Linked DNA regions of Arabidopsis thaliana. The protein of the gene in region 1 purifies or fractionates together with the protein of each later gene. This does not show direct contact. Each region holds a gene or a part of one and is shown in the gene's direction. Other genes may lie near its edges. The genes, in order: PDE320 and AT1G27695.

Region 1 (3,925 bases):
GACGAAATTTAATTCATCTCTAAGATTATAGTCTTATATATAGACCTAACATGGATAGATCTTTTTTTGGACAGAAGAATTCGGACCTGAAATTGTTTTTATTGAAATTAAGCTAAGTTATAAGAAAACTTAGGTATGTAAGTAAACTAAAATTTTAAAATTAATTTAAAAGATGAATTTTGAAGCTAAAATTACCCTCAGGGACGTGAACAATTTTTTTTTTTTTTTTCTCTCATCATATAAGCGAAGAGGAATGTAAAGTAAAAGGCCTATGAGTTAGGACATGTTCCGAAAAGGTAAAAAAAAAAAAACAAAGGTGAGAAGCTTCGGAGAAGGTAAGAATTTAGAAAGGTAACAAAGTGACTAAGCCTATATATAGAATGTTGATACTTAACCACCAAGCAGTGCTTTCAAGCTGTCTTAAAGTTTGGGACACAAAATACTAAAAAAAAAAGAGAGAGGCATATGTTTTAGTGAAACAAATATCTTCTTTCTTCTTGATTATAAGCATATATATCGAGCTCTGACTGATTCTTTCATTGCTTTTGTATCGATTCGTGCCTAGTAAAGCTTCTTCTTTCTAACATATATTCGTTTTTCTTTTCCAAAAGCTTTGTATAAAGATAGTGAGTTTTGGTTTCGATTATTTGGAGCATATCGCCCTATAATAATAAGAACGTACATGACTGATTATTTGGCAAACTTATGATTAGACACCTCCTCAACTTTCTCTAGTGAAGTAATAAATTATCCAAAAGGATTCATAGTAAATGTAATTAGTTCATAACAACAACATGAACGAGAGTAATTGATATAGACAACAGAAAAATCATATCCCATGTTTGGGTTTAACCTGGAGAACAATCTTCTCGCCTTCCAAGACACTTTTATTTGAAGAAAACGATTATCCTTATCTAAATATATACACACTTTTGGTTTAAGATTTGACCAATCATATGCGGACTAATTCTTCTACGATACTTATACAGGCATCACAATCAATCTTCTCATAAGGAACTTTATGCAAGCCCATGTGAAAATTATACTTACTAAATTTTTTTTTAAGGAGTAAGCTTCTTCCCTTTTTTCTGTGGAGACTCATTGATTATGCATTTCTTTGTTTGAGATTCATTTTGGAATAAGGTGAAGTAATGTAAAACCATAATTATTTAACTTTTTACAAGAAATATCCACTGTTTTTGTGTTTCTTTGATATATAACACAAACCAACGATTGATTTATCATTGTCGTATGCATTAATAAGGTACGTAGAGAAAAACACACATAATATTCAACTCGATAGACTTGACCAATGAGGATTATATTTATTGAAATCACATAGAAAACACGTACTACAGAGACGAAACCGGAAAAAACAAACAAATTTTCTTCCAAACTACTACGTACTCCAAGAGCTGAAGAGAAGAATAAGAAGGTGATGGAATCAGTCACGAGTCTCGTGGAACCTTTTGATGAAATCAGTGGATCTCCGGTTAATAGCTGGTTCAACGAGGTACCAATTATAGAAGTTGGCTTCACTATCTTCACCATACATCTCATCGTCCGTTCCTGCCTGGTTCGATCTCTGTCTCCGTCGCCACCACGCTTTGAAACTGCCGAAGAAGCTAAAGAAGAAACGCCACGAACCTCCCATTATGATGTTTTAGAGAGAGGGATGTATTTTGCGTGTGTATATATATCTAAAGATACAGAAGCATGTGAAGGAAGGTGTGTCTGATGGTTTAGGGTTCAAAACTCAAGGTCCTTTTATATATAAGCCTGACCAAGTTGGAATCCTAGAGGAACCATGCACGAAACACCCCCTACCAACCATTAAAAAAGAACTTTTCTCTTCTAAACATTTGTATATTATTCACAAAGAATAAAGATTAAAAAAGCATCGAGATATTATGTGTCGCTAGCTGCGGTTATTTTAATCATTACATAGACACTGGTAATTCCATAGCAAACATTGAATTTTAAGCTTTTGAGGCAAATGAATTGATATGAATTTCTAAAGTTCCTAGTTTCTTTGTTCCTACTCTTTTATTCAAACCGAATAATTCAATCCATAACCGGAATAAATCGATTCTTTTAACCGTTAGACGCCTTCTTTGTTCTTTAAGCCGGTTTAATTAAACGGGAAGCATTCTTCTTATGAAAACCAAAAACGGCAAGGTGTTTATCGAACAAATCCAGAGTAAGAGTGTGTTTGGTCATCTCCAGGTCAGCTGGGTGTAGAAATCGAGCGACGGCGGCGGAGACGACGGAGATGAACAGAATGAGATGGGTCGGAGAGGGAGACATCTGGGACCTCGATATGTCAACTCCGGTGACGCTCGAGGGCACCGCACGAGCTGTTCCTGACGATCCTCTTCCTCTAGGTCTCTCTAGAGGCACTCGTCTATCTCGCCCTAAGCAAGTTGAGTTCTTCCACCGCTTCATGGCCTCACCTCTCATCCCTTCCTTCTCCCCTATCCGTCCCAACACCGGAGATGGAGGCGGTGGTGGATTCTCTCTTCAAAGAGTCCTCACTCTTCCTTTCTCCAACAACTGGTATACCTCCCCAAATTCAAAAATCCTAACTTTTTTTTTTTCTGATACTTTCGGTGAAAGTTCGATAATTATTTTGTTTTTGTGAATCCCAAGGCTTGTGTCTCTTCTGGGCCAATTCGATGTTCAGAGATTCGTAACGGAGATAGATAAGACTAAAGCTTTTGGTCGAGGGTCTTCGTCTACAGTAGCTTCTCGTTTAAACACAATTGGCAAGCATTTGAAGGATAAATCTTTGTACGCATTGGGTTTTTGTTCTGAGTTTTTGTTATCACCAGATGATACTTTGCTTCTTAGCTATGATGCTTACAAAGGTGATCTCGATAAGAATCCTAGAGCTAAGGCTATCTTCAATCACGAGGCAATTTCTCTGTTACCCTCTTTTCAATTTCTTGACTCTGTTAATAATATTTCACTATTTGGTTGGCAATGTGATTCATTGTTGATTTGGATCATACCAATTGGTTGCTGAGGTAATGAAGTCCGCTACACTTTGTTCTGACTCACGTCTCTATTTTTTGTTGGTTTCAGTTTCCGCTTCACAATCTGACAGCAGAAGCGGTTTGGCCTGGACTTTTTGTGGATAAACATGGTGAATATTGGGATGTGCCACTCTCAATGGCTATTGATCTAGCATCTCTTCCTGCTGAATCTGGTCCAAGTTACCATTTATGTTTACACCATAACAGCGGATCACCCAAGAAGTTACATTCTGATACTATGGAAGTGCCTCCACCGTCACTGCTTCCTGGTTTGTCTCTGAAATCTGCAGTCTCTTATAGGACAAACATGGATCTCTGGAGGGGTACCACTCCAAAGCTCGAAACTTGCAAGCCCTATGATGTCTTCCTCAGTAGTCCTCATGTCGCAGTATCTGGGATTATCGGTATGATAAGTTTCTTCAACTTATTTCAGAAGCATTTTATTGTCAAGACTGAAAGTTTTGTGATTTCTCTAATAAGTTTTGTTCAACTCTTATCATTTGAGTTCTCCAATTCCAATATTTGATGTTACAGAACTAGTGATGGAAATGGGAATTTTTGGGATATTTTGGTTTCTTTCGACTATTGAATAGCTAATTTGTTTTCCTCTGATTGAAAATTTTATGTATGAGTGAGCCTTGAGCCTTCAGGTTTGGAAGCACGGGTCTTTTTTATGATCTTTTTGGTGCTGTTACTAAGAGTTTCATTAATCCCACAGGCTCTGTGATGACCGCAGCATTTGGTGAAAATTCAATCAGATCAAAATTTGAAAATGATTCTGAGGGTGTTGGAGGGTTCTCTCTTCATTTTCCATCTGTAAATTCCGGATTCATGGCTGATGCCTTAGGGCGGGCATCACTCACAGCTCAATATGGAAACTTCCAGAAATT
Region 2 (3,925 bases), on another chromosome or scaffold:
ACGATCCAAGAGTCCAGTCAGAAGCGTCTCTCCGATCATCATCCGTCGCCGGAAAGGCCGTTACGTCACACAACCGGACCGGCACATGTCTGAGATGCTTGCTCCGGTTATAGAAGGTCCTGATCCAGACGCTGAAGACTCCGGAAGCAGTGGTGATTACTCTAGGTTCGAGAGACGTTGGTACAATTGGATGAAATGTCAGCTTCCGGTGGCTCCGCCGTCAGTATCGTCCTCTTCGGATTTCAAACGAACGGATCTGAGGCTTCTCCTCGGTGTTCTTGGCGCACCTTTAGGTCCTGTGCACGTTAGCGCTCTGGATCTCCTTCCACACCTCAGTATCAAGAATACACCTATGGTGAGCTCTTAATTCACTGTTGTCTCCTCAAAATTAGGACAGTGTTGGGGATTTGGAGTTAATCATGTTGAATTAAGCTCTTCTGTGCCATAATCTAGCTTGAATTTAGCTGAATCTTCTTTTAGTTGCCTACTAATTACGGAGAAAGACTGCGCAATTAATTGAGATTTATCAAGTTTTATCTCTGCTTTAATGTGTTGAGGGTAAAGTCTAATGACTCTTACTAATACTTGAATTTTCAGGAGACTTCCTCTGCTCAGTACATACTTCAGCAGTATACGGCTGCATCAGGAGGTCAAAAGCTTCATAGTTCTGTGCAAAATGGATATGTTATGGGAAGAATCAGGACGATGGCTTCAGAGTTTGAGACAGGCTCAAAAGGTTCAAAGAGCAAGAATAATTCGTCAAAAGCTGTTGAGTCTGGAGGATTTGTGTTGTGGCATATGAATCCTGATATGTGGTACATGGAGCTTGTTCTTGGTGGGAGCAAGGTTCTTGCAGGTTGTGACGGGAAGCTTGTGTGGAGACACACACCATGGCTTGGACCTCATGCTGCAAAAGGACCGGTTAGACCATTACGACGTGCTCTGCAGGTTAGGCCTCTTGTCCCAAGGAAGCCTTCTCATACACTTTTCTTTGCTTGCATAACTGAATTGTTACTGTTGTCAACTTTCAGGGACTTGACCCGAGGACCACAGCGTATATGTTTGCAAATGCAAGGTGCATAGGAGAAAAAAAGATCGATGGAGAAGACTGTTTCATTCTCAAGCTATGTGCAGACCCGGCAACACTCAAAGCTAGAAGCGAAGGGGCATCAGAGACCATAAGACATACGTTGTTCGGTTACTTCAGCCAAAAAACCGGTCTGCTTGTTCACTTAGAAGACTCCCAGCTAACCCGAATCCAAAACAATGGAGGCGAAGCGGTTTACTGGGAGACGACCATCAACTCATACCTAGAAGACTACAAACCTGTCGAAGGTATCATGATAGCTCACTCTGGTAGATCCGTGGCTACGCTTTTAAGGTTTGGAGATATGTCATCAGGACATAACACTAAGACCACAATGCAAGAAGCATGGGTCATCGATGAAATCTCGTTCAATGTCCCTGGCTTGTCTATAGATTGCTTCATTCCACCTTCAGAACTCAGATTTGATTCCCACGTTGAAGACTTATCTCAAGGCCCCAAAATTAGGACATTGCACGGCCATAAAAATGGTTGATGTGAAGAAGCAGGAGATCAATGTGTATAACTCATTCAAAAACAAACCCTAGACCGGTTATTTTACTTTTGCTATTGTCGAAGCTAAAATTCTTGTAGGAAGTTTCGTTGAAGTTGTAAATAGACAGCAGGAGAAGTTCGTTCTTTTTGCCGCATAATGTTAGGAATGTGTAGTCTTAGTAAGGTCAGTCCAATTTTTAGTTTATAATATTGTTTCATATACTATGATAGAAGCTCCCATCTATTTCACCTAATAGCATATAGTATAAAGAAATATTACTTGGTCATCCATACCAATTGGAACTGATGAATACGATCTTCCTTGTATTGTATATCAATAAATTCATAGTGTGAGTGTAGTTTCTTTTGTAGCACAAACTAGTAAATGTTATTTCTCCTCCTACTGTCTATTTCAAACCGTTGCTCATTAGTTTACTCCAAAAAATGGCCATAAGTACTTATCTGTTTGTCTGTCTCAACCATCCAAATCCTATTTGTGAGTTGGATTTCAATGGGACATGAGCATTTTTGCATATGGATTGATCCATTTGCTCACTAGATCGTTTTATTTTACTGTTGACTGTTGTTGACCTTGAGAAAAAGAATTAGGCCGGTTCACTGTTGACCAAATTCTTTTACATAAAATCATTTTGAAAATAATCCCGGTTCATTAGTTAAACCGGTTCGATTAATTTGGTACGTCTCTAAAACAAATCGTCTTCACCTTTCTTCTCTTGCTTTCAGGGCTTGCGATTTTAAGTGGGGGAGGTAGAGAGAGCAATCTACCAGATTCACCGATTACCAACAACAAACAAGGTATCATCGGGTAATTCAGATTCGCAATTTCTGCTCATTTGAATTTATAGATTCCTAAATTGGTTTCTTTTTTTTTCTTGTGAAGATCACTATGGTGCTCTCTGACTTCACTGGAGTCGGTGTTGGATTTGGTAATGCCCCCATTCGCAATTGTTTTCTCCTTTTAATTTTGATTGGAATCGTAATTTAGTTATTGGAATTCATAGGGTTCGGTGTTGGTTGTGGATTTGGCGTTGGATGGGGTTTTGGAGGTTCGTTCTCAACTTCTCTCTTTTTCTGCTTTTACTTGAACAAAATCTGGACTGAATTACAAGATAATTCTATTGGAACAATTCTCTTGCTAGTTGCTATGGGATGTGCAATGCACTCTGCTGTGCTTGTTTAGTTTTGTGATCATATTGCTTAATGTCTCTTATAGAGATTATCAACTCCTACATATCATCTTTACTCAAATGCTTCTTCTTTCCTAGCTAATGGTTGCTTAAACGCATAGCTAGTATCAGTTGCGCTTACATTTTGATGGATTCATACTATTTTGCAAACCTACTGAATTGGAGATTTCCGTTGCTTTCATGCAGGAATGCCTATGAACATCTTAGGTGTTGGTGCTGGTAAGCATTTCAAACTTCTACTTCAAATATCCCACACTCGCATAGATACACACCGAGCAGGTTTTTCCTAAATTCTAATTACGTAACTTATGCGTCTGGTATTTGACAAAGGTGGCGGTTGCGGGGTGGGTTTGGGCCTCGGGTGGGGTTTCGGGACTGCGTTTGGGAGTCACTATCGTTCATCTAGACTTACATTTCAAGGCATCGAGTTAGAGACTGCCGATAAACGGGAGGAGGTGGTGGCTAACATGTCCAAAAACTCCACTTAAGCAGTCGTGTGCTTCAATACTCTGCTCGGATTGATTGTAAAAGAATTCTGACACCTTTTCTTATTTCTCAATGAAACGGTTACTTCAAATAATCCAATACGAAATGCATTTCTGTATTCTGAATTGTCATTTTTAGAAGGTTCCACTTCAATCTTGGGTTTAGTCCCAAATAATTCTACAATGGTTAATAGGATTGGTGCCTAAGAAAACAATGATTGCTCAATGAAACCCGTTTCAAATAATCGAACCAAAAAAATGCATTTCTATATTACAAACAACCAAAAACAGTTGGAATTTACTGTACAGTAAAAATGTGGATTGCCAAATTCGTCTCTTTCGCTGTTACACAGAAGATGAATGAACTCGAACCTTGCTATTCCAAACCTCTCTTCTACATTGAATGCACTGCAACTACCACTGCAATCAGAAAAAAAAACAATTTATCTCAAAACTCAAAAGTGATGCAGTAAGCTTTGCGTTCTAAACATAAATGATTCAGAGTTCAGTAAATCTTACCAATAAGAAAAACTAAAAGAATAATCCAAATTGCAGCGTGAACCGATTTACTATATCGCATTCGATACTGAGACCGTTGGAGTTGCCTCTGTAGAGCTCCATACCAACCATGAAGCTGCTTTTCATAACAGTCC

What was found.
Region 2: the proteins of PDE320 (region 1) and AT1G27695 purify together in Arabidopsis thaliana (affinity purification with western blotting, with the first as the bait; one study listed by BioGRID). This does not show direct contact.

The regions. Positions count from the first base shown.
Region 1 is NC_003074.8:2,194,852-2,198,776, reverse strand, and holds the start of PDE320 (pigment defective 320), read left to right. Parts: upstream 1-2,195; 5' UTR 2,196-2,272; coding exon 2,273-2,556; intron 2,557-2,649; coding exon 2,650-2,914; intron 2,915-3,084; coding exon 3,085-3,439; coding exon of another isoform or gene 3,440-3,561; exon of another isoform or gene 3,562-3,753; coding exon 3,754-3,925. UniProt on the Arabidopsis thaliana protein: Involved in lipid transfer from the endoplasmic reticulum (ER) to plastids. Specifically binds phosphatidic acid (PtdOH).
Region 2 is NC_003070.9:9,636,728-9,640,652, forward strand, and holds AT1G27695 (glycine-rich protein), read left to right. Parts: upstream 1-2,296; 5' UTR 2,297-2,395; intron 2,396-2,419; exon of another isoform or gene 2,420-2,480; 5' UTR 2,481-2,486; coding exon 2,487-2,526; intron 2,527-2,601; coding exon 2,602-2,646; intron 2,647-2,973; coding exon 2,974-3,006; intron 3,007-3,117; coding exon 3,118-3,275; 3' UTR 3,276-3,477; downstream 3,478-3,925. Other genes in the region: AT1G27690 (lipase, putative (DUF620)), read left to right, coding at 1-355, 598-948, 1,032-1,580; AT1G27700 (Syntaxin/t-SNARE family protein), read right to left, coding at 3,667-3,692, 3,792-3,925.